Saccharomyces cerevisiae S288C: one gene and its partners. The main gene of each other region encodes a partner of the protein of the gene in region 4 in a complex. Each region holds a gene or a part of one and is shown on either strand. Other genes may lie near its edges. The genes, in order: EPL1, EAF6, YNG2 and ESA1. A codon is read from its position in the direction of its gene.

The links.
Region 1: the proteins of ESA1 (region 4) and EPL1 are in contact, whole or in part, in a crystal structure (PDB 5J9U), measured with the Saccharomyces cerevisiae proteins. Residues at the interface, in NP_014887.3 of Saccharomyces cerevisiae: Ser153 (codon at 3,255), Met154 (codon at 3,258), Thr155 (codon at 3,261), Gln156 (codon at 3,264), Asn157 (codon at 3,267), Pro158 (codon at 3,270), Ala162 (codon at 3,282), Arg163 (codon at 3,285), Val164 (codon at 3,288), Arg165 (codon at 3,291), Ile171 (codon at 3,309), Gly173 (codon at 3,315), Lys174 (codon at 3,318), Tyr175 (codon at 3,321), Glu176 (codon at 3,324), Ile177 (codon at 3,327), Trp180 (codon at 3,336), Phe182 (codon at 3,342), Pro184 (codon at 3,348), Tyr185 (codon at 3,351), Pro186 (codon at 3,354), Ile187 (codon at 3,357), Glu188 (codon at 3,360), Leu189 (codon at 3,363), Thr190 (codon at 3,366), Tyr196 (codon at 3,384), Ile197 (codon at 3,387), Asp198 (codon at 3,390), Asp199 (codon at 3,393), Phe200 (codon at 3,396); in NP_116629.1 of Saccharomyces cerevisiae: Lys75 (codon at 3,632), Asp119 (codon at 3,764), Tyr120 (codon at 3,767), Ile121 (codon at 3,770), Pro122 (codon at 3,773), Thr123 (codon at 3,776), Pro124 (codon at 3,779), Asp125 (codon at 3,782), Ala126 (codon at 3,785), Ser127 (codon at 3,788), Met128 (codon at 3,791), Thr129 (codon at 3,794), Trp130 (codon at 3,797), Glu132 (codon at 3,803), Tyr133 (codon at 3,806), Phe136 (codon at 3,815), Tyr137 (codon at 3,818), Thr138 (codon at 3,821), Gly139 (codon at 3,824), Ser140 (codon at 3,827), Phe141 (codon at 3,830), Glu143 (codon at 3,836), Thr144 (codon at 3,839), Thr145 (codon at 3,842), Ser146 (codon at 3,845), Tyr147 (codon at 3,848), Ile148 (codon at 3,851), Lys149 (codon at 3,854), Phe150 (codon at 3,857), Ser151 (codon at 3,860).
Region 2: ESA1 (region 4) and EAF6 share a complex: the UniProt entries of both Saccharomyces cerevisiae proteins name them as parts of the nuA4 histone acetyltransferase complex.
Region 3: the proteins of ESA1 (region 4) and YNG2 are in contact, whole or in part, in a crystal structure (PDB 5J9U), measured with the Saccharomyces cerevisiae proteins. Residues at the interface, in NP_014887.3 of Saccharomyces cerevisiae: Asn226 (codon at 3,474), Arg242 (codon at 3,522), Lys243 (codon at 3,525), Ser439 (codon at 4,113), Gln440 (codon at 4,116), Trp445 (codon at 4,131); in NP_011958.1 of Saccharomyces cerevisiae: Leu5 (codon at 1,983), Glu8 (codon at 1,992), Gln9 (codon at 1,995), Ile11 (codon at 2,001), Gln12 (codon at 2,004), Ser15 (codon at 2,013), Asn16 (codon at 2,016).

What each region holds. Positions count from the first base shown.
Region 1 is NC_001138.5:84,697-93,754, reverse strand, and holds EPL1 (Epl1p), read left to right. Parts: upstream 1-3,409; coding exon 3,410-5,908; downstream 5,909-9,058. Other genes in the region: FRS2 (phenylalanine--tRNA ligase subunit alpha), read left to right, coding at 1-256; BUD27 (prefoldin-like protein), read right to left, coding at 379-2,769; BST1 (Bst1p), read left to right, coding at 6,521-9,058.
Region 2 is NC_001142.9:580,397-585,532, reverse strand, and holds EAF6 (Eaf6p), read left to right. Parts: upstream 1-3,277; coding exon 3,278-3,619; downstream 3,620-5,136. Other genes in the region: TMH11 (Tmh11p), read left to right, coding at 96-413; YJR084W (uncharacterized protein), read right to left, coding at 529-1,800; ACF4 (Acf4p), read left to right, coding at 1,996-2,925; AIM24 (Aim24p), read left to right, coding at 3,917-5,101; YJR079W (uncharacterized protein), read right to left, coding at 4,294-4,480. UniProt on the Saccharomyces cerevisiae protein: Component of the NuA4 histone acetyltransferase complex which is involved in transcriptional activation of selected genes principally by acetylation of nucleosomal histone H4 and H2A. The NuA4 complex is also involved in DNA repair.
Region 3 is NC_001140.6:278,911-286,595, reverse strand, and holds YNG2 (histone acetyltransferase YNG2), read left to right. Parts: upstream 1-1,970; coding exon 1,971-2,819; downstream 2,820-7,685. Other genes in the region: arginine--tRNA ligase MSR1, read left to right, coding at 1-1,757; H/ACA snoRNP pseudouridylase subunit GAR1, read left to right, coding at 3,298-3,915; rRNA-binding ribosome biosynthesis protein RPF1, read right to left, coding at 4,214-5,101; RTC3 (Rtc3p), read right to left, coding at 5,441-5,776; YHR086W-A (uncharacterized protein), read right to left, coding at 6,204-6,365; NAM8 (Nam8p), read right to left, coding at 6,872-7,685. UniProt on the Saccharomyces cerevisiae protein: Component of the NuA4 histone acetyltransferase complex which is involved in transcriptional activation of selected genes principally by acetylation of nucleosomal histone H4 and H2A. The NuA4 complex is also involved in DNA repair.
Region 4 is NC_001147.6:789,733-797,833, forward strand, and holds ESA1 (NuA4 histone acetyltransferase complex catalytic subunit ESA1), read left to right. Parts: upstream 1-2,798; coding exon 2,799-4,136; downstream 4,137-8,101. Other genes in the region: SSP2 (Ssp2p), read right to left, coding at 1-125; pseudouridine synthase PUS7, read right to left, coding at 479-2,509; DGA1 (diacylglycerol O-acyltransferase), read right to left, coding at 4,344-5,600; ENV9 (Env9p), read right to left, coding at 6,069-7,061; SRL1 (Srl1p), read left to right, coding at 7,944-8,101. UniProt on the Saccharomyces cerevisiae protein: Catalytic component of the NuA4 histone acetyltransferase (HAT), a multiprotein complex involved in epigenetic transcriptional activation of selected genes principally by acetylation of nucleosomal histones H4, H3, H2B, H2A and H2A variant H2A.Z.

The DNA of each region.
Region 1 (9,058 bases), on a different chromosome or scaffold from region 4:
GGAAATCTTTTCTTGGCACGAAGGTTTGCAAAAATGGGTCGAAATCGGTAACTCTGGTATGTTCAGACCAGAAATGCTCGAGTCCATGGGTCTACCAAAGGATCTAAGAGTCCTTGGTTGGGGGTTATCCTTGGAAAGACCTACCATGATCAAATATAAGGTTCAAAACATCAGAGAACTGTTAGGTCATAAAGTCTCTTTGGACTTTATCGAAACCAATCCTGCTGCTAGATTGGACGAAGACTTGTACGAATAAGCTCAGCAGTTCCTCTAGTTTTATATCGTCTGTCCCCAATTTTGTAGTAGTTATTGTACACAAAACAAATATATACGTATATGTTAATATAGATTCTGATTTACTTTCTGTCTCCATATGGGTTATGGTTTACTGTCCATATGGAGCCGTTGAGAGCGGAAACGACTTGTCTTGACCGGGTTCCCGAACTTATCAATAGGCTCCAATTCGCCTTCAGTGTGTGCGGCGGGTGATGATGATTGCCATTTCGACGCGGTAGCTTCTTTCAACCGTCTGTACTCTATAGCAACCTCTTCCTGTAGCCGGCCCGGATGTAGTGCTACTTCGTCCTCGTCATTTGTGTAACTTTCAGGAAATTCATGCTCAATGATATCATTCATAACATTGCCATCATTTTCCTCCTCCTCCATCGTCACTGGCTTGTTTTCTAGTTGAAAGTCTCGAATTTCGTCACGCAGCAACTCCACCTGCTTATTGTATTCTTTGAAATCCTCGAGCTTTTCCACTATGGTTCCTGGATCTTCCTCTAAATCGTCGTCATATAACCCCAATGAATATGCCTTGACCATATCATCCAAGTTTCCACCTAGGGCGTGATAATCGACATTTGTAATTCTAACCGGCTCACTCCCTACTGTGGCGCCCGTCTTAGCCATCGACCTAGACACCTCTTGGATTTTTGAAGGAAATTTATCTTGCTCATCAGTGTTATTTTTACTTTTGTTGGACAAAAGTTTCTTATTACCATCGTCATCATCATCATAATCGTCATCACTTATATTTTCGAGAATTTTGGGATCAAATTTTTTTTTCATTGATTTCGATGATCTTGGTTTTTGCAGTGATTTTAGCTTTTTCTTTTTAAAAGGAGTCTCAAACTCGCTCTTGCTGTTAATTTCCGGTTCTTTTTCCACTATATCGTTGATAGTAGGTTCTTTTTCTATAATATCCCCCACAACAGGCTTCCTTTCCACTATATCGTTGACAGCAGGCTCCCTTTCCACTATATCGGTGACAGCAGGCTCTTTTTCTATAACATCCCCCACAACAGGTTCTTTTTCTATAACATCCCCCACAACAGGTTCTTTTTCTATAATATCCCCCACAACAGGCTCTTTTTCCACTACCTCGTTCTCCACTGACCTTGTCGTTTCCTGTTTGAAAGTTGATAACGTATTTTCTTTTTTAGAAGCTCTATCCTTCCGGAATCTGGACACCCTAGTTCTTCTATTCGACCTGCTTGCTTCCCCTTCAAGTCTCTCTTGATTTATCAGTTCCTCTTTATATTTTTCATGCACTTCATCGGCCTCTTGGACACCCAACATCTTAGCAAATAAATCACCATCAAACTCATCCGATGTCATTTTATTAGCGATACCTGTGCTTTCCTGGGTTTCATACATGGGCACCGCAAAGGATTGCATCTGCCTCTTGTTCTCTTCTTTCAAGTTTTCGACTTCGTGAATTTCTAGAGAAGATGCAAACCCGACTTGTTTCTTTTTCTGCTTTTTGTCTGAATTCTCAGCAAAAGAAGACTTTTTCAAAATAGGTTTTAATGATTTATTAACGTCACCTTCTTCCCTCTCATGATCTTGGGATTGCTTTTGTGCGCGTAGGCGTTGAATTTGTTGTAAAAATGAGGACTGCGCTTCAAAGCCAGGTATAATAGAATGATTTAGATACTCTTCTTCATCTTCGTCCTCGTCATCCTCTTCATAGTTATCATTGACTTTGAAATTGGAGTTTTCGAACGCATCATAATCATAATTTATTTCATCAGTTTCAATATAGCCGTCCTCCAATTCATCTTGTTGGTCCATCTGTTGGACCAAGTCGGCAAATGTATACACGTTTTCTGTATCTACTTTAGATGGCTGCACTTTTTTCTTTACTTCATCGTTCCTTTTCAATAACTTTCCTTTCAAGTTTTCTTCGAATGACTTTGATTTCTTCTCCTTTGCTAATCCTTTCTCCTTTGGACCGACTGCAGGTGTCTGTTCTTTTTTGGAATTCGATTGTGATGGTTGCTTTGTTGTAGGGGTAACGGAACTACTTATGACATTTCCCTCGTCATCTAGTTCTTCTCTAATCTCCATAGAGGGCAGAAAATCTTCGTCGTTGTTCGCTTCGTCTTCTTCAATTCCATTTCCGTCCTCCATGTGATTCAAGTTGTCTAAGGTCTTTTTAGCCTCTTCGATCTTCAGGTTAAATTGCTCAATGGCGTCCTCCATTAGTTTTAATTTATCATCAACAAACGTGATGGCCTCCTCTTTGGTCTTTTCAACGTAATACTCATAGCCTAGACTTAGATATATCTTACTCGTAGAAATTATGATATCACCAAACACCATCCCTTGGCCTTCGCCTTCTTCTTCGCCATCATCATTGTCATTGATAAATCTAACCAGTCGGCTTCTGATATCTATATAGTGCTCTCTTTGTTCCGAAAGAAAGTTTCTCTTATCTTGCAGATTTTTCAACGTACTTTCTACGCTGGCCGCTAACAAATCCATGGCTATTACAGTCTGAGGATACCTGTTTACTATAAAATTCTACAGAATATTCATACAACACTCTCTGTTAAAACCTTTAAGAGCAGCTCATCGCCTATCCTCCAAGGATAAATTTCAAAACACCCAAACATTAGGGTTACCCGTATATCGCTACTTCTTCCCATACTCGCTCACCATAGTTAGCACCCCATACCGCAGGAGTAAGCGAGAAACAAAGGGATAGAGGAAAAAAATTTTCTCCGTCGGCCGCGGGTGGCAAAAGCACGATCCGACCACAAAATTGTACTATTACATATCACATGGTATAGCATACAAGCAATACCTGTGAGAGGTTACTACACAAAAGCAAAAAAGTTTGCAAAAATCAGCCAAAACTGTGCTCGTATTCTGGTGGTCATTAGACACTCGCAATATTATTACACCACATCGCGTTCCTCTGAGCTGCTATAATAAAATAAACGCTATCTATTTTTGACTCCTCTTTTTGCCACCCTCGCCTTCCTTTTGTCCATATTCTCACATTGTACGGCAACTGCGGACTTCAGGTCAACATAAATAAAAATTGCACACGATAGGGTAACATTATAGTCACGTGCTTATAAAAACATTGTAATAACATTAGCAAATAACGATAATAACGATGCCGACACCTTCAAACGCTATAGAGATCAATGACGGTTCGCATAAATCTGGTAGAAGCACTAGGCGGTCTGGATCTAGGAGTGCGCACGATGACGGTCTAGATTCATTCTCAAAAGGCGATTCAGGTGCTGGAGCCAGTGCTGGTAGCAGTAATAGTCGATTTAGACATCGAAAAATATCTGTGAAGCAACATCTTAAGATATATCTGCCTAACGATCTGAAACACCTGGATAAAGATGAATTGCAACAGAGAGAGGTGGTTGAGATCGAAACTGGTGTAGAAAAAAATGAAGAAAAGGAGGTCCATTTGCATCGAATATTACAAATGGGTTCTGGTCATACAAAGCACAAAGACTATATTCCGACCCCGGATGCTTCTATGACTTGGAATGAATATGATAAGTTTTATACGGGCAGTTTCCAGGAGACCACCAGCTACATCAAATTTTCTGCCACTGTGGAGGATTGCTGTGGTACCAACTACAATATGGATGAAAGAGATGAGACCTTTTTAAATGAACAAGTCAACAAAGGTTCATCAGACATTTTAACTGAAGACGAATTTGAAATACTTTGTTCCAGTTTTGAACATGCTATTCACGAGCGTCAACCATTCTTGAGTATGGATCCGGAAAGTATACTTTCTTTTGAAGAATTGAAGCCCACATTAATAAAATCAGATATGGCTGATTTCAATCTAAGAAACCAGCTGAATCATGAAATAAATTCTCATAAAACACATTTTATCACACAATTCGACCCCGTATCTCAAATGAATACGAGACCTTTAATTCAGCTGATAGAGAAGTTCGGCTCTAAAATTTATGATTATTGGAGAGAAAGAAAAATTGAAGTTAACGGGTACGAAATTTTTCCGCAGCTGAAATTTGAAAGGCCGGGTGAAAAAGAAGAGATTGATCCCTACGTCTGTTTCAGAAGAAGAGAAGTGAGACATCCGCGGAAAACAAGACGTATAGATATCTTAAACAGTCAGCGTTTAAGGGCGTTGCATCAAGAATTGAAAAACGCGAAGGACTTGGCCCTGCTTGTTGCTAAACGTGAGAACGTTTCCCTAAATTGGATTAATGATGAATTAAAAATATTCGATCAAAGGGTAAAAATTAAGAATTTGAAAAGATCTTTGAACATTAGTGGAGAAGACGATGACTTGATTAACCACAAGAGAAAACGCCCCACGATTGTTACGGTCGAACAAAGGGAAGCTGAACTAAGGAAAGCTGAACTTAAGAGAGCAGCTGCTGCAGCAGCGGCAGCGAAGGCAAAGAACAATAAAAGGAATAACCAACTTGAAGACAAATCTTCTAGGCTCACCAAGCAGCAACAGCAGCAACTGTTACAGCAACAACAACAACAACAGCAAAATGCCCTTAAGACTGAAAACGGAAAGCAACTCGCGAATGCATCCTCTTCTTCAACATCACAGCCAATTACGTCTCATGTTTATGTCAAACTACCATCTTCCAAAATTCCTGACATTGTATTGGAAGACGTGGATGCTCTATTGAACAGCAAAGAAAAAAATGCAAGAAAGTTCGTTCAGGAAAAGATGGAGAAACGGAAAATTGAAGACGCAGATGTCTTTTTCAACTTAACGGACGATCCCTTTAATCCTGTATTTGACATGTCGTTGCCTAAAAATTTTTCGACTAGTAATGTTCCCTTTGCATCTATCGCGTCATCCAAGTTTCAGATAGATAGATCTTTTTATTCTTCACATTTACCAGAATACTTGAAGGGGATATCTGATGACATCAGAATATATGATTCAAATGGCCGTTCGAGAAACAAAGATAATTACAACTTGGATACCAAAAGAATCAAAAAAACTGAACTGTACGACCCATTCCAAGAAAATTTGGAAATTCATTCGAGAGAGTATCCAATAAAATTCAGGAAGAGAGTTGGTAGATCTAATATTAAGTATGTTGATCGTATGCCAAATTTTACAACATCGTCGACCAAGTCTGCATGTTCTTTAATGGATTTTGTAGATTTCGATTCAATCGAAAAAGAACAATATTCAAGAGAAGGTAGTAACGATACTGACTCGATTAATGTTTACGATTCCAAATACGACGAATTTGTCAGACTTTACGACAAGTGGAAGTATGATTCTCCACAAAATGAATATGGGATCAAGTTTTCAGATGAACCGGCAAGACTTAACCAGATTTCAAATGATACTCAGGTGATTAGATTCGGAACAATGTTGGGTACGAAGTCCTACGAACAATTAAGGGAAGCCACCATAAAGTATCGTAGGGACTATATCACCAGACTGAAACAAAAGCATATACAACATTTACAACAGCAACAACAACAGCAGCAGCAGCAACAGCAGCAAGCACAACAACAAAAGCAGAAATCACAGAACAATAATTCAAATTCTTCGAACTCCCTAAAAAAATTAAATGATTCGTTAATCAATTCAGAAGCGAAACAGAACTCTTCTATAACCCAGAAAAATTCATCATGAGCAGCACAACTTTGTACCTCTCGAACATCTTTCTACGCATTGGCATTTAACAAACCTGACATTCAAAGTTTACTACGAAAGTCGAGGCAACATTACTGAAGATTCAAATCACCGAAATGAACACCGATAACGCAATAATAATGAAAAAAAACAAAAAACAAAAAAAGATAACTACAATAAATTTCAAAAGAAAAATAGCAAGTATCATCCGGCTGTAATATTATCACCTTCACAAGACTACATATTTTTAACGTTTTTTTTAATTTCCATTTCACACGGTTGTGACCTTTTGATTTTTCGCATGATTTCATCCCAAATGCTTGATGTATTTAAGTTAGATTCATACTCTTATATAGACAATTGCATAACTCACTAGGTACCCTCAAATAAATGCATTTCTTCTTATTATCCATTTTTTTTTCCTGTATGGCGCGAATTTTGAAAAAGGTCTAAATATACCAACCAAGTCATAACAAGAAAAAGTAAAAATGAGTCTCAACACATTCCTTGCAGTTCCATCTGATAGTAAATTCACACTCGAAATACTCCCTCTACTTTAAAGCATTGGCCTATATCTTAGGCTTACCATCATACAAAAATCTTCATTTCGTTATGGGTATCAGGAGATTAGTTAGTGTTATAACGCGGCCCATAATTAATAAAGTTAACTCATCTGGTCAATACTCGAGAGTACTCGCTACGCGTGAAGACCAGGATAAAGCTTCCCCCAAATATATGAACAATGATAAGATAGCAAAAAAACCTTACACATATCGCCTTTTCTCTATTCTTGGCATTTTAAGCATTTGCTCGCTTTTATTGATATCGCTACTGAAACCTTTTAATGGTGCAGATGCTCCTCAGTGTGAATCTATCTATATGTTTCCATCTTACGCAAGGATCGATGGATTTGACGAGAGGTATACACCACTGGCACACAAGTATCATCTTTACTTGTATCGAGAACAAAGCGTAGACCGAGAACCTTTAAATGGTGATGAGTTACAACTTGATGGTATCCCTGTACTTTTTATACCCGGAAATGCAGGTTCTTTTAGGCAATGCAGATCGATTGCTTCCGCTTGCTCCAATATATATTTTGATTCCAATACCAGGGCGACTCTGCGTAACGAAAATGTGCGAAATTTGGACTTCTTTACGGCAGATTTCAATGAAGATTTCACTGCGTTTCATGGTGAAACAATGCTTGATCAAGCTGAATACCTAAATGATGCCATTAAGTACATCTTGTCTCTTTACGAAAGGACCCCTGATTACCCACATCCAAAACCGCAGTCAGTTATTATCGTGGGACATTCCATGGGCGGTATTGTATCCAGGGTCATGCTAACTTTGAAGAACCACGTACCGGGAAGTATAAGCACCATATTGACCTTATCATCACCTCATGCTGCTTCACCAGTAACCTTTGATGGTGACATTTTAAAGCTTTACAAAAATACAAACGAATATTGGAGAAAGCAGTTATCCCAAAACGATTCTTTTTTCTCTAAGAACATTTCATTGGTTTCCATTACAGGCGGTATATTGGATACTACTTTACCTGCAGATTATGCATCTGTAGAAGATTTGGTTAGCTTAGAAAATGGGTTCACCAGCTTCACAACTACTATTCCAGATGTTTGGACTCCAATTGATCATTTAGCCATTGTTTGGTGCAAGCAATTAAGAGAGGTACTAGCGCGCCTTTTATTGGAAAGTATAGATGCCTCCAAACCTGAAAAAGTTAAGCCATTGAATCAGAGATTGCAAATCGCTAGAAAACTATTGCTTTCAGGGTTTGAAGACTACTCATGGATGAATAGTAAGTTAAATTATCCTCAAGAAAACTTACAAGAATTTAGTGACAACTTCTTTTCTGATTACGCTACTTTGGAAATGAACGATGTCCTAGATTTTGAAATGTTTAACCTGGAAAAGTGGCACAACAATTATACAAAAATAAATATTCCGAGTAACATCTCCTCCACTGAACACCTGCATTTCACATTATTAACTAGTCTCGATATGCCTATGATCTATTTCTGTACAGAGTCCAGGGTGAATCTAAGCTGTATAACAGCTGTTGATAGTATTCTAACAGTGCCCAGGTCTTCAAAAGATACTCAGTTCGCAGCTGATTCTTCTTTTGGAGAAGCAAAAAATCCGTTTAAAGCCGTTAGTGTTGGCAAGAATATACTACAGAAGTACGACTACTTGATGATAAGCAAACCCACTTACGGTGAATTTTCAGAACAAGAAGGCATGGAGGACAATCAGGGGTTTCTTTTGGCATTACTGCGCAACGTCTCCAATGTACAAATAGTCAATACTACACCTTCTCAAATATTGCTCTTTGGAGAACAACTACACTTGGATGGCAAAGACATCGAGCAGGTTATAAGTTTCAGTAATTTGTGGGATTCTTTATTATCGTACAAATTAGAAACCAAGATTGAGGCAAGCAACGAAGGTATTGCTTCCGAAGAGACATTGTTTCAGCCTTTCATAAGGCAATGGGTTTACGAACCTTTCGAGTCTAAATGGCATCTAAATATTATAAACAAAAGTCTCGATATAAATATGCATAATGTAGCACCGTTTATCCCATTAAATGAAAGCGAACCGAGATCGCTACAATTAAGTTTTTTTATTCCACCCGGAATGTCCTTAGAAGCTAAAATGACTATTAATTGGTCTTTAACTTTGAAAATGCTGTTTATCAGGTACAGATTAGCACTAGCATCTTTTCCAGTCGCGTTTATAGCACTCGTACTGTCATACCAGTTCTACTGGTACAACAAGACATCTGAGTTTCCTTCCTTTGATAGCACTTTGGGATATATTTTAAGAAAGCACGGAATATTAATGTTTTTTACGCTGTTCTTAGCTTCGCCTGTGGTTAATAATAAGTTGGTACAACGAATACTTTATTTATTGGATCCTGTCGGTTTAAATTATCCATTTCTGCTATCCGAGAGAAACATGCATGCAAATTTTTATTATTTGGGGATCAGAGATTGGTTTATGTCAACTATTGGAATTCTCTTTGGGGTTATGACAGTTGGATTACTAGCACTAGTTTCTAAGATTTTTGGATCCTTGGAAATTTTAGTAATATTCCTTCAACGGAAGTTATCAAAGAAAAAC
Region 2 (5,136 bases), on a different chromosome or scaffold from region 4:
AACGAGAAGGGGGAGCAGATCACATGAAGTTATTAGGTAACAGCGGGAGACAAGACAGAAACGAAGTTTGAGAGAAAGGAACATCAGATCACACTATGGAACATCCAGCATATACATTGAGTCTTTTGACTACAGCCGGTGGCCTTATGGGATACTACCGTAAGGGCTCCATTCCATCTCTAGTATCTGGCTTAGTATTCGGTAGTGTATATGGGATTGCCGGTTACTTGCTACATATGAATAGAGATGGTGGGCTCGAAATGGCATTGGGTGCATCGACCTTACTACTTGGTGCTGGTGTCATAAGAGGCATGCCTTCCAGGTTCACTAAACCTGTCCCTGTCGTTTTGACAGCTTTGGGTGGGCTCGGCAGTTACTACTATTATAACAAATACAAGGAATTTTACCCTTAGAGAAGGAAGAAGACGCACGATATATATACGACCCTATATATATATATAATATGATATTCTTTTATGAACAAACTTTCTTTTTTTTTTCTTCGTTCAATTATTGACTATTTTTCTATCATTTGCTATGGGGAAAGGGCTCCTTCTTACTGAAAACGATGCAGCGGTTGGAGTGAGAAAGATAAGCACGCAAAAGCCCACTTGCTATAGCACTTGCTAGACGGCATTCTAGGGCATCCAACTGCTCCTCTTCGTCCTCATTGGCAGAACTATCGTGTTGTTTTGTTGCCAGAAGAATTTTCAAGGGCATGATACTTTTCCGATCATTCCCCCATTGCCAACATCGTTGTACCAACCGAGTGAAGACCACCTCTCGAAGTAATGTGATGACGACATGCAATCCTTGCGAAAGGAAAAATCTTTCATGGCTTGCTGCGGTAGCCTCGTACAGTGACAGGTTCCCTGAGATTACGCTACGCACTAATGTCGGATAAACTTGACTTAAGCGCTTACTCCTAGTAATTACTCCGGCGATTACTGGATGATCCCAGTGAGGGTACAACCTTTTAGTTAAAAGAGCAAGCGGAACCAGCAGTATCATTATCTTTTCCATTTGGCCCTGTAAGACGAACTTGCCGGTAGATTCCACATATAGCATTGGACATTGCAATAATGCTTCATTTAAATGGAAGAACCCGCGTTCGTGATCGTTTTCCAGACATCCGTAGTATTGACCTAGATAATAATTATACAACACCACTTGAGACTTATGTTCCATTGCCAGGCTTTTATTCAACGGTGGTATATCCCGGGCGTTCACTCTGCTCTCGAGGACTTTCACTAAATTTTTAATCATATCTTTATTACTTAACCGATGGTAGATGGAAAACTCTAGATTAGCAAACATATAACACCCGATTTTTTTATTTTCATTCAATCTTGGGTTCCTATCATTGAGGCATATAGTAAAGCTTCTATGGATAGTGCGTCCACATTCCTCAATTGAGTCTTTATTAAGTTCACTAGATTCGTTTGCCAGACGAATTAATTGTTTAGCCATTACCCACAGCGGATAAATTATCCAATTGGTTTCTCTTTCTACTATTCTGTTGAAAAGTTTCAACTGTTCATTGGCTAATCGCAGCAATTCCTCAGTAGCATTCTTGATCCGCCCTTGCTTCTTCAATGACCTCCGCTTGGAATACTTCAATTTTAGATCTACTCCTAATTGGTAAAACCTTTGTAATCGTACACTCTCTTCATCTGTCGCCGTAGGCCTTTGTAGTATATATTTAGTCTTTTTAGGTGTTTTAACGTCATATCTGATGAAGTCTAACAGTTTGTCGTCATAGCGTTTCTCTTCAAAATAACATCCTATATCAACATCCATGATTGGTTGTAGAAACCGTTGCTGGACCTTTCTGTTCCTGTGTAACTCTCTCCAGACATTCCTTTACATACAATTTTCTTTTTTTTTCCTGACCTTTATCGTTAGCTTTTTCAAAATCAAAAACAATACGATTGAGGAATACTACTAACTAGCCAAAAGCAATACAAAATACATCCATACATACGCCCTAAAGTAATGTCAGAAGACCAGCGTGTAATTAGTCAACCAATTGAATTACATAAGCTGTCGATTGTCGATAAACACTCCCAAGGACAGCAGCAACAGCCGCATCAAAAACAACATGAAGTGCAGCCTGAATCAAAATCACCAAGGGTTACGACACCTTTAAAGCCCAAAAGACTTGCTATACCTATATCAAGTCCGCAAAGATCTACGACAAATCAGTCACCCGTGAGCGACCACGCAAGTCCGATTTCAACAGACCAAGATTTAATATATAAATTAGCTGCAAAACACAGAGAAATCAATGAACTTAGTTTCAAATTAGAGGTCGCCCAAAAAGAATTAAAACAATTAGAGTTACAGTTCAAAGATACACTGCCCCGAAATGGACAACAGAAATTAGGTAACCAGAACCCAAGTGAATACCTCTCTACTTTTACCAAAAGAATTCAACAGACATTTGTGGACGTAAATAATTCACCAAATATGCTCAAGGGAAAAAAGAGTATAAACGATTTTTTTAGTAAGCCCAATAATAATGTTAATAGCAACATAAATAACACTCTACCCAATCGTAAACCGAACCCTCCGCCTAATCGGTCACAACGTATGCAAAATATTGCTCCAAGCCGTAGTTCAGAATCAACTCCAACATCGGGTCCTCCCTTGCTACCCCCAAGGAATACTATGAAGAATGCTAATACCACGGCAACTGCTGGGGAGAACACACCATTCTTACAAAGAATACTTAACAAATTCAATCAAATGAATATGGAAGAGGACGAATTCGATGACCTTTTGGAAAAGAGGAAAAGTAAGAAAGATCACTATTACATAAAAGAAAATTTGGGTTACGAATACGATGAAGTACGCAGTGAAGACGAGGATGATGAAGAGTTTGAACCCATGGGTGACATACCCGTTCATTTATTTAAAAGGTAGCTAATGTCCACTATTGATGCTTTCTCAAGAGACCTTCATATGTAATATTCTCATTAAATACAAAGATTAAACGGCTTCATTTATGCATTCCTTTATTTAGGTAAATTTTTTTTGCCCGATTTTTGGTACTACTGCTTTCCTTTTTTAAATGTAATTGATATTTTTAAAAAAACCTCACATGTAGGCGATTAACCCAGGTCCTTCAACAACTTGCCGACTATGCCATTAAATTAATGATTAAAGGTGTGTAAAGCCACAACGAAAGCAAAGAATATACGTAAGATAAACATCTTTAGAGAACAGCCATTTTCCATCATCTTTCCGTTTGTTACCAACCTACGCCTAGAAGAAAATGACTGATGAGCTGAAAAGTTATGAAGCATTGAAAGCGGAACTAAAAAAGTCCCTCCAAGATAGAAGAGAGCAAGAAGATACCTTTGACAACTTACAACAAGAGATATATGATAAAGAGACCGAGTATTTCTCACACAATAGTAATAACAACCATTCAGGTCATGGGGGAGCCCATGGGTCAAAATCACACTATTCTGGTAACATCATAAAAGGGTTTGATACCTTCTCCAAGTCACACCACAGCCATGCAGATTCTGCATTCAATAACAATGATCGTATTTTTTCATTAAGTAGTGCTACGTACGTGAAGCAGCAGCATGGCCAATCACAAAACGACTAATGCGATAGCACACGTTGGTATTTACGTTGCTTGACCGCTCTAAAACATCTGATTGAAAAGAAAAAGAGAGAAGAAGGAAATGATTTCGACAGGTGACCTTTAAGTTCGATATACCTACATATTGGCTATTTCTTTTATTTTTCATTTTCTATAAAATATCTATATAAGTATTTTTATAACGATTTACTAACAAGGGCAAAATTTCAAAGGTCCCGTGCTCCCAGTCATTTTATTGGCTGGCGAATAAACGGATACAGATAAACAAAACAGAAGCACAGAAAAGGATATCCACCCATCATGATAAGCCCAAGGGTGAATACTCGAGTTTGGCAGAGATCAATTTCTCTTTTGAGCCCACAAGCGGCCAAGACGGAGAGTAATGTCGTAACTAAAGAAAGGACATATATCGAGAACTTAAGCAAGGATATTGCGACTTCCCGTTTCAGGCTAGTAGACGAAAATGGTAAAATTGCATCTATCACTGTTCAACCAGATATTCCAATTTGTATCAAAAAGGATTGCCTAGTTTCCATTCACAATTTGAACCATTTATCCCTTTCCTATAAATGGCTGAATTTTTGGTCAAACCTGATTAAATTTCGTTCATTCAAATCTTCATTGTTTCATAGAATTATTGGATCCTCCGTTTTAGAAATTCTGGCTGCCCCAAACTTTCAAACATCGAGAAGACCTTTCGATTCTTCAAGAAGCTTGTCCGTACTGAATTTGACCGGGACAAAGGATTGGAATGTATTTGGCAAGGATTCAATTATCGCATTTGAACAGAACTCCAGTCTGGAAATCAAATCGCCTATCTTTCCCTCTGCAAGGTCTTTAGTCTCGAACTCATCAAAATCACAACTACCACGGAAATTTCAAATTCTGAATGGGAGAGGAAATGTGTTAGTATGTGGAGGTGGGTTGGTATATTCAATTGAGTTAATTGATGAAAGCGACAAAATTCTGGTTAATTCCAGAAACATTTTGGCCATCAACGGCCAAAGTCAATTGGATATTGCAAATTCAGTGGAGAGACAAGAGTTACACGTGGAAGGCGCGTACGTCGGAGATTCAAGTAATGATACGGTGGCACCTAAATTCATTAAGAACCAAACGCTAAAATCTGCTTACGGACATACTGTTCAATTTTTCAAAAGAATGCGCAGTTGGATCCGTAACCAGTACGAAAAAAGATACATTTATGGTGTCGACTCGTACTTTATGAAGATTAAAGGTCCAAGAACAATATTGATTCAAACGCATGAAATGACAACATCCAAAGATAATATTCTAACTAAACTAACGTCCAAGGGCCACGTTAAGAAGAGCAACGTGAATGATAACGGTGTCAATTTAGAGAAACAAGTGGCTAACGATGTAAATTCAAAGATCATTGAGCTTGCCAACAGACCCTCACTGTTTATTGCGACCGTCTCGCAAGATGGGAGGGTTGATTTTCAAAGTACTTCGAAGTTCACATAAAAAACATTGTTTATAATATCTTTCTGGCCTCCTTG
Region 3 (7,685 bases), on a different chromosome or scaffold from region 4:
ATACTGACCAACCCGAAGGCCCAATTTATCCTTTGGATGTACTACGCCTAGACATCTCAAAAGCACTGCATGATATATCCGGAATAGACCACTCGCTAATACTAAATGCGCTTGAGTCGACAAATAGTATGGATAGAGGTGATCTACTGCTACCTCTTCCAAAGATAAAAGTGGCTGACCCTGTGGCCGTTGCCAACCGATGGGCCATTGAACTAAGCACGCATGGGTGTATTGGAAAGGTTTGTGCAAAAGGGCCATTTCTTCAGTTCTTCCTGGACCAGCGGTATTTGATACAATCAACGGTACCAAATATATTACTTCAAAAGGGGAAATATGGTCAGAAAAAATCTCGTCATCAGAAAAAAGTTGTAGTAGAATTTTCATCACCAAATATTGCCAAACCATTCCATGCAGGCCATTTAAGATCGACTATAATAGGTGGATTCCTTTCAAACTTATATGAAGCAATGGGGTGGTCCGTTACACGTATGAACTACCTAGGAGACTGGGGCAGACAGTTTGGTTTGTTAGCAGTCGGTTTTAAGAGATACGGCGATGAAAAGACGTTACAAAAGCAGCCAATTCAGCATTTATTCGACGTCTACGTTAAAATCAACATGGACCTTGCCAAGGAAGAGATAAACGGAAACTCTAAGTGTGGGATTAGCGGTGAGGCCCGTAGTTTTTTCAAAAACTTAGAAAATGGGGATGAGAATGCCATTAAGATATGGAATAGGTTTCGCTCGTTATCCATCCACCACTATATCCAAACTTATTCACGTTTGAACATTAATTTTGATATATTCTCCGGTGAATCACAAGTGTCTAAAGAATCTATGAATGAAGCCTTAGATATATTTCGCAAAAACAATCTTGTTAAAGAAATAGACGGTGCCCTTGTCATCGATTTAACCCAATGGTCGAAAAGATTGGGCAGAGTTGTTGTACAAAAATCAGACGGAACAACTTTGTACTTGACAAGAGATGTAGGGGCAGCCATAGAGCGTAAAAAGAATCTACATTTTGATAAAATGGTGTACGTGATTTCCTCACAGCAAGATTTATACATGTCCCAGTTTTTTATGATATTAAAAAAAATGAATTTTGAATGGGCAAAAGACTTGCAGCATATAAATTTTGGTATGGTGCAGGGCATGTCGACCAGAAAAGGAAATGTGGTATTCTTAGATACCATACTAGACGAGGCAAGGGATAAAGCTCTGCAAATTATGGAAAATAACAAAATGAAAATATCTCAGGTAGATAATCCACAGCGTGTTGCAGATTTAATTGGCGTATCTGCTATCATTATTCAAGATATGAAATCAAAGCGTATCAATAACTATGAATTCAACTGGAACAGAATGTTGTCTTTCGAAGGTGACACAGGGCCCTATTTACAATACACACATTCCAGACTTAGATCTTTAGAAAGGACCTCCAGCGACTTTACGACGGACATGCTAATACACGCAGATTTTTCAAATTTAAATGAACCACAACTAGTTGAGCTTGTGAGGTTGCTAGCGCAGTATCCAGATGTCCTTAGACGAGCATTCGAAACTCAAGAGCCGGCCACGATTGTAACATATTTATTCAAAGTTTGCCATCAGGTCTCCTCGTGCTATAAAAAAATATGGGTTTCCGGAAAACCTGCAGATATTGCCATACCGCGACTCGCCGTATATTCAGCAAGTAGACAAGTGTTACACAATGCAATGTCGCTTTTGGGACTAGTCCCGGTTGATAGAATGTAATTATATGAATAAGCTAGCAAATGCTAGATTAATTTAGATTAAGTTTAACCAATTTATAAACATGTAAATAGAAGAAAGTTTATTGTTACGTACAACGTGATATTTTCCGATTTTCCTTTAATTGATTCTTGAATAACCCACCTACCGTTAGTTGAAATAGAAACAAAGAAGAAGGATATGCAAGTTTATATTGGACAACATAACCAATAGAAGATGGATCCAAGTTTAGTTTTAGAGCAAACGATACAAGATGTGTCCAACCTCCCATCAGAATTTCGTTACCTCTTAGAGGAGATCGGTTCAAATGATTTGAAGCTCATCGAAGAAAAAAAGAAATACGAGCAAAAAGAATCACAAATACACAAATTTATAAGACAGCAAGGCTCAATACCGAAACATCCACAGGAAGATGGGCTTGACAAAGAAATAAAAGAATCACTTTTGAAATGTCAGTCTTTGCAAAGAGAAAAATGCGTTCTGGCGAACACTGCCTTGTTTCTAATTGCTAGACACTTGAATAAGTTGGAAAAAAACATCGCTTTATTGGAGGAAGATGGTGTTCTAGCCCCCGTGGAAGAAGATGGAGACATGGATAGCGCTGCTGAAGCCTCTAGAGAAAGTTCAGTTGTGAGTAACAGTAGCGTGAAAAAGAGAAGAGCTGCATCAAGCTCAGGATCCGTTCCACCCACTTTGAAAAAGAAAAAAACTAGTCGAACATCTAAACTGCAAAATGAAATTGACGTTTCTTCAAGAGAAAAGTCTGTTACTCCAGTGAGCCCAAGCATTGAAAAGAAGATTGCAAGAACAAAAGAATTCAAAAACAGTAGAAATGGTAAAGGCCAAAACGGTTCCCCTGAAAACGAGGAAGAGGACAAAACTTTATACTGCTTCTGTCAAAGAGTTTCGTTTGGAGAAATGGTTGCATGTGATGGACCCAACTGTAAATATGAATGGTTTCATTATGATTGTGTAAATTTAAAAGAACCTCCGAAAGGAACATGGTACTGTCCCGAATGTAAAATTGAGATGGAAAAAAACAAACTGAAAAGAAAACGTAACTGAACAAAAATACCTTTTTGAGACTGAATGACCTCATTTACACTAATAATATTCCATAAGCCAGAAACGGTGATTGCTATTCTGACAATGTGCTTTTCGAAAAGGAGAAGTAATTTCGAGACATCAGCTAGCAAGGACATATACGATTGACATTTTTGAATGTACTTTCAAATACTTGTGAATCAAACTAAGATATGATTCCTGCATATTCAGGTATATACTATATATTTTAATTTCATTAGCATATGTGTCATACGGTTTTTAAAACTTATGAGCAGGAAAAAGGTGTCACGTGATCAGATGGTCTTTTTTTCAAACTTTGACGTCGGAATTTTTTGTAGTGAAAAATTTTTCGAGATGAGGAAAGGAAGAAAAAATTAATTTGTTAGCCTTATAACGTGAGCACCTTTTCGATAGAGTATCTGATTGCTCTCTTCTACCAAAAGATCACCTGAGGATAATTTTTAACCAAAAGAAAATAATGAGTTTCAGAGGAGGTAATAGAGGTGGCCGTGGCGGCTTCCGTGGCGGCTTTCGTGGTGGACGTACAGGCAGTGCTAGATCATTTCAACAAGGACCACCAGACACTGTTCTAGAAATGGGAGCTTTTCTACATCCATGTGAGGGTGATATTGTTTGCCGTTCTATCAACACTAAGATTCCATATTTCAATGCGCCAATATATTTGGAAAACAAGACTCAAGTCGGTAAAGTTGACGAAATATTGGGTCCATTAAACGAAGTATTTTTCACTATCAAGTGTGGTGACGGTGTCCAAGCAACCAGTTTTAAAGAAGGTGATAAATTCTACATTGCCGCTGACAAACTATTGCCTATTGAAAGATTTTTACCTAAGCCTAAGGTGGTAGGCCCACCAAAACCAAAAAACAAGAAGAAGAGAAGTGGTGCCCCAGGTGGCCGTGGTGGTGCTTCAATGGGTCGCGGTGGTAGCAGAGGAGGTTTCAGAGGAGGCCGTGGTGGTAGTTCTTTCAGAGGAGGCCGTGGTGGCAGTTCTTTCAGAGGTGGATCTCGTGGCGGATCATTTAGAGGAGGATCTCGTGGCGGATCTCGTGGTGGTTTCAGAGGAGGTAGAAGATAATCTAGCTAGAAAAAAATAAAAAAAAAAACCATCCTTTATCTTTCACAATTCTTCATTTCTTCCAACTTACTATATCTGCCGAAGCACGTCTAACGTCGAAAAAAAAAAAAAGAAATTACCGTTTGTTCTGTATACTATATATATATATATTTGTTTGATTGATTTACCTGTAATAAATTGATTTAAAATGAAAAAAAGAGAAATTCAGTAATACCAGAAGCCGCCGTAGTTAAACAAACGACCACGGTTCTTACGGTTGTCTTAATATTATATCCATACAAAGTTTACGAATGGAACACTATAAATAAAACTTTTTCTTTTCTTTGTCCATCTCAGGTTTATGCTCCCATTCAGTTTCTTCCTTAATACCCCTTTGCAATCTTTTCAACTTGAGGGTAAATTGTGGACCCAGTTCTTGCAAACCAACCCTTTCATTATCTTTGAAGACATACCGATGCCTTCTGAAGAAAATGTAATCTCTTTGATTATGTAGGGTGATAACTTGTCGACCTTCAATATCAGGATTCTGAGGTAAAATGGACTGAAACAACCTACCTACTGTTTGACCCAATCTGGTCTGGAAATTATTTAGAATCAATTCTGGAATATGGCTAGTTGGTCTACCATGACCGACAATTTTCTTCACTTCAACAAATGATGATAATTTAAAATAAAAAGTTGGGCCCTCTGGCAGATGTATGAATGTTAGGCCAGTAACCTTTTTCTTGTCCTCGTTGATTATCACGATGTCAGTGAAATTCCTTTTTATACAAATATCAGATATTTCCTTCAATTTGTAGCCAAATTTTCTTTTCACAAATGTGACGTTTGGTAAAATTTCGATTAAAATGTTAGCAAATTCATAAGCGCTCTTCTTAGCGTTTACATTTGTGGTCAGAAAGATCTTTGGTGGCTCATTAGAATTGCTGTTGAAGTATCTCATCAAATCGTCTTCATCTCCCTCCACTTCCTTGTTAATGGTCTCATCGTACACTCTAGTGTTCTCTATCGTCTGTGTTACGTTCTCTTTTAATCTCTGCTCCCGCAGCTCCGGATTCTCTCTCTCTTCCTTAGCTCTCTTTCTTCTCATGGTATGGCGCTCTTTATTTTTTTCATGTTTTATATCAGCAAAAATTTCTTGCCTCTTTAGCTTGTTTGTGATGTTTATCTCATTACCGAGAGCCATTTTTTAGTATTTCAATATATTAAGCCTGCTTTACCTCTTCCTTAGGTGTTCAATCGTAAAGTATAGCTTATGGCATCGCATTTCTTTTTACATCTCATCGCTAAAAATTTTACTTTTCCTTTGTATAAATAATCATGTGTGACGAACGCGAAAATGAAAAATGCACTGAATTAAATGTATACAACGTTATATAGATCGTAAATATGTATATTGAAATATACACCTTTTTGTTCTTTCTACTACTGTAAAAGAAGAATGCATGCGTTATGACAGGGCAGCACGCCAATTTAACTTATTGCATATTTCAATGCAGGCTGTCCAGACAGAAGGAAAAGCTACTCAATTGTAGGCTTTGGTTCCGGCGTTACCCCCTTTGGTTTTGAGACTAGAGGTGGTAGAGTTTGGCTTACCATTTCTCAATATCAAATCGATAACTTCTTCGATCTTCTTGCCCTTACCGAACTCATTTTCCACTTGGGCCTTGGAGGCAGCGCCCAACTCACCCTCGGCACCCCTACCGTCCTGAGGAGTGAAAACTTCGAAGAGTTCGACAACTTCAGATAGCTTACCAATTGATGGATTTTTCAAATATTCGTCTACAAGCTCTTCGGATGCAGCGAAGACAATCAAATCTGTATTTTCACCCTTGTAAAAGTATTTGGTTACAGTAGACATGTTGATTTTATTTTGTGTATGCGATGGTTTTCTTATTTTTATCAGCTTGTTCAAAGTATGAATTTGTTGATAGCTGCTTTTTTATTAGTCAAGAATTGAGTTTAAAGAACATTGGCTTGTGATCATCATCGAAATTGATTCTCATCACTTAAATATCTTTTGCTCCCTGTTTCTGGCGATCCCTTCGACTAAATAAGGGGTCGTTGTTGTTACGTACGGCCCAACAGGGTAGTGCCTGCTCTAGCGTCGAAGTTAGAGGAAAAGAAGCTTAGAGAATAAAAACATTTACTAGTAGTAAGGGGTCTTATTGTCAGAAAGGGACAATTGCGTGGGCAGTATTTTCAAAGAGTGGCTTTCTTCTTCTGAACGGAGTTTCAACCTGCGCTTTCTTTTCCTCCTGCTAGGATTTATTTGTGAGAAAACGAAACTAGCTATAGAAACGCGTAGCACCGGCAGGCCGAAAACCGCTACTACGTAAAGGGGAATGAAAATGGGCCAAATTTGGTGTAAAGATATAGGAGAAGAGACACGGAGTAGGAATTCGCCGTGCCCCTATACAGAGACAACATGAATAGAGAGACAAACGCATTACGTAGTCTTGGAAGATAGCGCAACGGGAAATCTTGACACAGTAAGAAACATTTACAGTATAATAATACTAAAAATAAAATTAAGATACATCAATATAAAATTTTCGACAAATACAGAAAAGAACAGAGAAGAAAAAATGAAGGTGACGCAAAAAAGGAATTGACAGGCCGTAATGAGTAGTGATGGAAAGAAGGTAAATGGAAGTAATAAAGGAAAATCATAAACATGCTTAAAAGCGTACAATCTTGAATTGAATTAAGAATAACAATAACCTTGAAAGAAATGAAAATCAAAAGGAAAAACGCAACTATAACGATACAAAAAAGACTTAATAAAAGGACATGGAATCTTGAAAACGATAAAAAGCAATGAAAAAAAGAAAATAAAGCGCTGTTATATCACCGTCAGCCTAAGACCAAATACAATTTAACACTGAAGTAAAGAAAATACCAAGAAAGAAAAAGGGCCAAAAGGAAAACAAACATTTTTATATACACGTGTGGCTCAAGCAAACATAAAACCATTACTGCCTTGTTCCAAACGGTTTAACATTGCATTAGTGCTGTTAACAACCGCTTCGCTTCCTTGCATGATAACTTGTTGGCCACCCGTGCCTGAGAGGTCCATAGAGCTAGTGTCAGCCAGTAAACTAGTAGCTTGCGTATTTGTAGCATTATTATTACTGTAGAAACTGAAATTGTTCGAGCCTAATCCATTCGCATTAGCGTATGGATTAGAATAATTCAGAATTTGACATCCAGGAAGCATCGTGGATGAAACATTATTATCTGGCAGAACAGGTGCTTCACACGTACTGGATGGAATGTATCCGTAGTTAGGTTGCTGTAAACCTGGTTGCTGTTGTTGAACCTGTAAAGAGTTACTTAACATGGCTTGCTGAAGCAACGCTGTTTGCTTAGCAGACCTGCCCCAAGACAGTCTAACTCTTGAATTTGCAATGGGGAACCCTTGCATCCCAGCAATGGCAGCCTCAGCCGATAGCCGATCAACATACTGGACAAACCCGCAACATTTGCCTACCGGAATTTTGACATAGACTATCGTGCCAAAAGGTTGGAAATAAGCACGTAATTCGTCTTCAGTCACCAGTGATGACAATCCTCCGATAAACACAGTGGTGTTATTCGGATCAGTGAAGTGGTTTAAAGACGGCTGCTGTTGGACTGGATAAATGAATTGAGACATATGGTTTCTCTTAAAGCCCATGTTATTATTTCCATTGCTTAAAAATGATTGACCCTTGGAAAGAAATCTCGAGTCTACATTTTCGTTGTTTAGTGACGAAGAACTACGGTTG
Region 4 (8,101 bases):
CTAGACGAGTCATTGAAAAATGAAAAAAAAGATGATCTTCTCGATCTCAAAGCTTTCTTCCTCAAACTTCCAGAGTCTTTATGCTTTTTATAAACTTCTGTGTTTGAATAATAGTTCTTGTACATTTGACCGGATTAAATGCTTCGTATTTTATTATTATTTTACCTTCGTTGGATTCCCGACTTCAATACGCGAGAATATATCTGTCTTTTTGTTTATAAAATATTGATAGCTACAGTATAATAATTTTCCTCTATTAGGTCCTTCTTGTTGAGAAACGTGGTTGTATCCTTTGATAAGATATATCTAGAAGGTGTTGTTTATATTTAAAAAGGCTTTATCTTTGTGTGCGATGCGCAGATACATATTTACCGACGCCTGAAGTGACACGACACGGACACAACAATAGTGTATGAGGGAAAGAGCTTCCGACAAAAAAAGTAAACTAATATACATGAATATTGCACCTCGTATAACCTTAGATATTCTCCTTAACATCACACATGTCGCCACGGCGAGAAGTCTCAAGCTTCATGAGTTCACGTAATGCCATGGTGGCATATGCGGAGGTTCCTAATTGAAATTTTAACACCACCGCAGTCTTCTCACCGCCTTTATCTGGCATATATCTGTCCAACTTGGCTTTCATATACTTCTGGCCGCTTTCTTTTGCTCTGGTGTTATTCAGGATGTCCAAATCAGTGTTCACCAATTGTTGAGAAGGATCATCATAGTGAATTATTCTATACTCTAAACTCTTTGGCTTTTGAATAACAGTTCTATAAGAGCCAGCCAATGAAAAATCGCGAACTTTTCTTCTCATATTAAATGGGTCCATATTATCTGCTTTCAATATATCCACATACAGTTGCTTCAATTCTTCGTTGGAAGGATAAAGCACATCAAAACCCGGCGATGGTAACACGACATCTTCCATGGTATACTTAACTGAGTCGATATCCTCTTGAGTTACTGCTTTTGCACGAATGAACTGAGCTTCACGGACATCTTCATCAAAGTCTTCATCGTCAATCCCAGAAATTAGTGGTGACTTTTCACTAGTATCAATGACAAGGTCACCTACAACTAACTTCAAACCATGTAGTTCTATCCGCTTACTAGCAATAGAATTCCAGACGTAACTTTGGTAGGCATGTACATACATAGTTCTCAAATTTCTGGGAATTTTCATAATAGCAGTATAATAAGCGTTCTCAGAATAAGTTCCATCTTCTTCTTTTCTTTGATTAGATAAAGAATATAGTAACGCATTTTCTGCGAGACACTGTCTTGGCATCTGCTTCAATGCTAAAGCCGCGTCCTTAGTTTCTGCCCAAATCTTCCTAGCTTCCTTAGATTTAGGAAGCACGTTATCCTGGTCAGATAAAATCAACTCAGCAGCCTTCTTCCAGTTTGAAAGGAGCAATTCTCTACCAATTGTGTGCGTAGAAATACTGAATGTACCGAATCTCTGCATACCAAAATAATTGATAAACCCATTTTCTGATAAAGACTTACAGCCGTTAGACACAATTTCTTCCAGTGATACCTCACTATTGCCGGTGGTAACATCTCTAATAACAACAACGAACTCATTTCCCTTCAAGTCTCCCAGATTCAAACTTGCATCCGAAAAATTGTAATTTCCGATAATCATTCCTTTTAAAGTCCTATTTAAAGCATTTAGTCTATCCAAACCAATCTTTGAAATCGAAACCCTTTGGCACGTTACTGCTCTACGATCCTTAGTACCTGCATATCTAATTACACGGCTTGGAACTCTTAACAACTTTGTTATAACATTGACAGCTTCCATAGTATCCTTATTTTCTTTATGTAGAGTGAAGTGAATAAAATCTTTACTGGGACCATATCCCCAATTTTCTACACCGTTAGCGTCCCTGGTTTGGTTAATTTTCTCTTGTTTATTGGTTCTTGAATTTCTATTTGATCTTGCAATCTTAAAAGTGTTAGTATCAGTAGTCACAGATTCTAATTCATTTTTAAATGCCTCACGTAACAGTTGGTGAATTTTAGTTCTAACAGATTTATCTTCGAAATTTTTTGCCGTTTCCATTTTATTAGCCGTGCGATAAACGGATTCTATTTTCAATACATCTTCCTCACCAAATATCTCCACCAATTGATTTCTTAATTCGGGGTCGACGTTGAATTCTTGTCTTCTAGCTGCTTCAGACTCCTTTTCTGCATTGACCTCTTCTTTAGAGCGTTGTGGTTTCTTTGGCATTTTAAATCCTTTATCAGTTAAGTGAATGACCTTACCTTCTTGATCTATTTCGTTGACCAAAAAGTCAGTATAACGCTGCTTAATTTGGCCTCTAAATCCTGGCAATTCTGGAGATAAGAACAAAGTAATACCGACATCTGCTTCGTGAATACCATCTGCCTGAGTACGTTGCTCAATTTTCAACTTCTTTGCAGCATTTTCGGAAGGTCCTACGTGAGCATCAAGGGGTCTCTTTACAGTGGCTTCTGAGGAGTCAGACATGGCATGCAACAGATATTGCTTTTTTCCTTGGGAAGGAACAACGTGATTATAATTAATCGATGAGCTGTACCTATTGACTATTTCATCATTATTATAATGATGGAAAATTTTCCAAATTACTACCCGCCCGTTGAAAAGATGAAAACGGCTTCCGGCGGAGCAAATGCAAAACGAATATTGCTAAAAGGTGTATATTATTATAGTAATCAAAGGAGAATAGAAAAGAGCTTTACCATTCTTTAGACGCTTCCTGTGCTACCATTCTCGGAAATACTGCAAGAAATCATCGATGTCCCATGACGGAAAAGAAGAACCTGGTATTGCCAAAAAGATAAACTCAGTAGATGATATTATTATCAAATGTCAATGCTGGGTCCAAAAAAATGATGAAGAACGATTAGCTGAAATTTTATCCATAAACACAAGAAAAGCACCACCAAAATTCTATGTTCACTATGTTAATTACAACAAGCGTTTAGATGAGTGGATTACCACTGACAGAATAAACCTGGATAAAGAAGTACTATATCCGAAACTAAAGGCTACTGATGAAGATAATAAGAAACAAAAAAAGAAGAAGGCAACAAATACTAGTGAAACGCCACAAGACTCTCTGCAAGATGGTGTAGATGGTTTCTCAAGAGAAAATACGGATGTTATGGACTTAGATAATCTAAATGTACAGGGAATAAAAGATGAGAACATATCACACGAGGATGAGATAAAAAAGCTTAGAACCTCCGGCTCTATGACACAAAATCCACATGAGGTGGCTCGAGTTAGAAATCTCAATCGAATCATTATGGGGAAATATGAAATAGAACCATGGTACTTTTCTCCATATCCTATTGAATTAACTGATGAAGATTTTATATATATCGACGATTTCACGTTGCAGTATTTTGGATCTAAGAAACAATACGAACGCTACAGGAAGAAATGTACATTAAGACATCCGCCAGGAAATGAAATCTACAGAGACGATTATGTTTCATTCTTTGAAATCGATGGTAGAAAGCAAAGGACTTGGTGTCGAAACTTGTGTTTACTTTCCAAACTTTTCCTAGATCACAAAACATTATACTATGACGTTGATCCGTTTTTGTTTTATTGCATGACGAGACGAGATGAGTTGGGTCACCATCTGGTGGGATATTTTTCCAAGGAAAAAGAATCCGCGGATGGTTACAATGTTGCATGTATCTTAACACTACCACAATACCAAAGGATGGGATATGGTAAGTTATTGATTGAATTTTCGTATGAATTGTCGAAAAAGGAAAACAAAGTTGGTTCTCCCGAGAAACCTTTGTCTGATTTGGGTCTCTTATCCTATAGAGCCTATTGGTCGGACACTCTCATAACGCTATTAGTGGAACACCAGAAGGAAATTACTATAGACGAAATAAGCTCCATGACTTCGATGACCACTACAGATATATTACACACAGCAAAGACACTGAATATCCTGCGATATTACAAGGGTCAGCATATTATTTTCCTGAATGAAGATATTTTAGATAGGTACAATCGACTTAAAGCCAAAAAGAGAAGGACAATAGACCCTAATAGACTCATATGGAAACCACCGGTATTTACTGCCTCTCAGTTACGCTTTGCCTGGTAAGCTATGTAGTGCTTTCCTAAACTTACATTCAAACAACTTCTAATGTAAAAGCTTTAAATAAATGAAATTTACGTAAAACAATCACTAATATTCAACGAGAACTCCAGTATTCCTGTAAGTTAATACTCTTACTTAAGATATACAGCCCAAACACTAAAAAATCCTTATTTATTCTAACATATTTTGTGTTTTCCAATGAATTCATTATTACCCAACTATCTTCAATTCTGCATCCGGTACCCCATATTTTTCTCTATTTTCGTAATATAGTCTTTTCAACTCCGCAATATACAAATCATGGAAATGATTAACAACATCATCTGGCGGATTTGTTATTTTCTTTTCAACGTATATAGGCCTTCCAACAACAACATTGATAGGCGCTCTAAATGGCAACAAACCGAAATCGTAATTGAATAATCCTCTTGCGTAGAAAATGGGAATGGTAAAACCAAAGTTTTCTTTGAACCATAGTTGCATTTTACCCAGGACTGAATCTTTTTTTGTGCTCAGAACATTATAACAGTCCACCTCTCCAAATGCAAACACAGGCACTAGGTTAATATTCCCCGTTTGAATGGCCAGTTTAATAAAACCCTTTCTTTTGTTTAAAATCAGTTGTGTACCATTTGTTGAACTTAATAAAGATTCCCTAGCGCCACCAACAACAATGCAGATCGACTGATTTTTGCTTAGAGTCCTTAAAGCGTTTTTCCGAGATACTGAAGAAATACCTAACGCCAATAAGTAGTCTCTATACAATGGGATATGAAATTGTGTGACCAGTGTCATCAGAGAAATAGGAATACCTGGGAAAATCTTGGAATAGTTACAACCTTCTGTTGCAAACGCTCCAAACGCACCAAGTGCTCCTATGCCGTGTGGATGGTAACCAAATAAGTACGTTGGCCCTGTACATTCCTGGTTGCGATAGTCAATAGTAGAGTTGCTTTTGAGATTAATGGAATACTTAGTTGGCCACAATCTAATCTTGTAATTTTTTTCGTTAACTCTCTTATTTTTTGAAAGCGTAAAAGTTGGTTTTAAATTGACAGTTTTAATCAAACTTATAGGGAAATAATCACAATACCACTTCCAAATGGGCAATGAACGAAATCGAAGAGAGTATCGATTTACCACTTCGCCAGTTGCAGGAGACCTATCGAAAAAAAAATAAATCATATATGGAATAGCAAGAACCCACAGTGCTGGTGTCGAGATTGCAAATAACGTAAATATGGAGAAGAGTACAAATGAAGAAGTGTGCCATGCTACAGCCAGAGTTTGTAACCTTCTTTCAAAAGGGGTCGCCAATGGACAGCATGACTCTAGTTGTGGTTTGAGAGTCTGTTCTCTTTTATCGATGCTTGACAAAGACTTATTCTCATGCCTTTCGGTAATACCGGCTGTAGGGCTTCCTTCTTCCTTCTTCCTTCTTCTTATATCATTGAATGTTCCTGACATTTATGTGACTGTTCAAACTGTATGCCTCTGCGTTTCCTTATGTATATGTAAGTGTATGTGTAAATGGAAATGAGATGATAGTAAACCTCCTTAATGGAACAAACGTGATCTGGGATAAACAGGAAAAAAAAAAAACTTTGGCGGAAGTGTAGTGAAAGATCCAAGCCTGATAGACCACTGTCGTGCTTGGTTAAGTACAGAAATGCGGTGGAAGTACTGGTCTGCTTTGAGGAATAAGTTTCCAAATTCAGTCTTCTCTTTTTCTAGCCTTCCCATTACGTCAATGCTGACTGAATCTATCAATTGAATAAAAAACGCACATCATAAGCCTTTGTCGGCCCGTAACTTAGTTGCCTGCAGAGAACAAAGTACAGAAAAACTTCTTGCTCTGATTACCAGTTACAATAACGACTAACTAATATTTAAATAAAATGTACATCTATCTACTCTTTCAATCTTTCCGTCTTGTTATATATCGAAACCACGGTCTCTTAGTTGATGAACGGTCCAGATCCAAGTCGATGCCGCTTCGTCGACATTGTTAGAAACGTAGCTCGATTTAGATTCTTTACCCCCCGTGGTGAAGTACTTCCCGTTATCTTTTTCGACAGATAAATTCGGGTCCAATGCACACTTCAAAGAAGCTAGTGAACCTTGTTCGTTCGATACGCCGAAAAAGAACCCTACGACCTGGAACAACAGCCAAAAGAAAATACCGACGATGGGTAACCTTGTCCAATAACTGAATAAGTTTGTGTTCATCACCAGACCCGGATGAACGGAGAGACAAAGAACGTCAGGGTATTTGATGGCCAACATCTTCGTGCATTGGATTAGCGCGGTTTTACTCATCGCGTACCTAAACCATGTGAAAAGCATATTAGGTTTGTAATCCCACGTCTTGCTCAGTTTCCAGTACATGAACTCTAGATGATGGCCTATCGAGGACAGGGAAATGATCCTGCCACGACAATGGCGCAGTAAAGGCAATAATCTCATCGTGAAGATGAAGTGCGAAATGTAGTTAGTCTGCAATTGCACTTCAAATCCGTCCTTCGTCATTTCTAAGGGCACCGCCATAATCCCTGCATTGTTAACAAGCACGTCTATGTGGTCTTCCAGCTTGAGAATTTTAAGTGCCGCTCTCTCCACACATTTTAAGTCTGTCAAATCCAAATGGATATAGTGCAGTGACCCTAGACGCTGAATGCTTGGACCTGGGCCCGCGCCTGGGCTTGAACCGTCGTCATCTTCATGGCACCTCTTCTTTGCTTCTGCCAGTATCTCCTGGATTGCTTTCGAAATCTTGTGAGAGTTTCTCCCACAAATATAAACGACAAACCCATGCAAATACAAATGCAAGACAGTATACCACCCAATACCCGTATTTCCGCCTGTTACTACAGCAATCTTCCTCTCCACAGCCGGGTCGTAGTATGGCAATATTCGTGGGTCTAACATTCTGCCTTTGGCGTATGTCTCGTACTGCGGATGCCTCTAATACCAATCAGGCCTACAACCATTGTCTTCCCCGTTTCTACAAAGACAATAGTGTGTGTGCATTGTAAGTGATGCATCATGCACCATAATGATTTGTTTATATATACCCATGTACACTTGGGTCTCATTTCCTCAATTTTTTCATATCTTACCCGCATATCTTTTCTTTCAATGCCCTACTTCTATACTTCAGGGTTTTCCAAAAAAAAACAGTGATTAAGCAGGGCGGCATTTTCTTTATCTTGGGGCTTAGAAGACGCGAAAGACCTGTGGCTCAATACCTTTTTCGGAATATGTCAACAACACGAAACGCCAAAATTCTTGGCCCTGATTCAGGTACCGCGGGGGCCACGAATTTTGGCGTTCTGTGCAGGAATGACGTCTCTGCCGATTATGAAACTAAACAAGGTATGCTATCGGAGGTGGTCTGAGTTACTCGACAGATTTTTCTGACGAGAGTGAGTGTCGTTCGAGATATTTAAGCTCCAAAATATTTCCCTCACCTAGCTTACATTTTGGTTTATTCTTTCTTACCTCTACCTTTCTAAGTTTTTCTCTTCTGCTTCCTTTTCTTTTCACTTGGCATATTTTATCTATAAAAAAGTTTTGCAAGCGTTTAAGCAACTAGTTTAGCACAACATCCAACCAAGAGGTTTCTCGCGTATTTCTCTCATTTTTTTACCCATTTTACAAATTTTTTTTGCTATTTGAGCCATAGTACCCATTAATAGGTCTCGTCCATTCCCTTGTTTTTTTTTTATTGTTTCAATTACACTACATAATTAAAAATCACATCACTTTCACTCTCACCTTAGTCGTTCTTTATCAACCAAAAATAAAAAAATGCTTCAATCCGTTGTCTTTTTCGCTCTTTTAACCTTCGCAAGTTCTGTGTCAGCGATTTATTCAAACAATACTGTTTCTACAACTACCACTTTAGCGCCCAGCTACTCCTTGGTGCCCCAAGAGACTACCATATCGTACGCCGACGACACCACTAC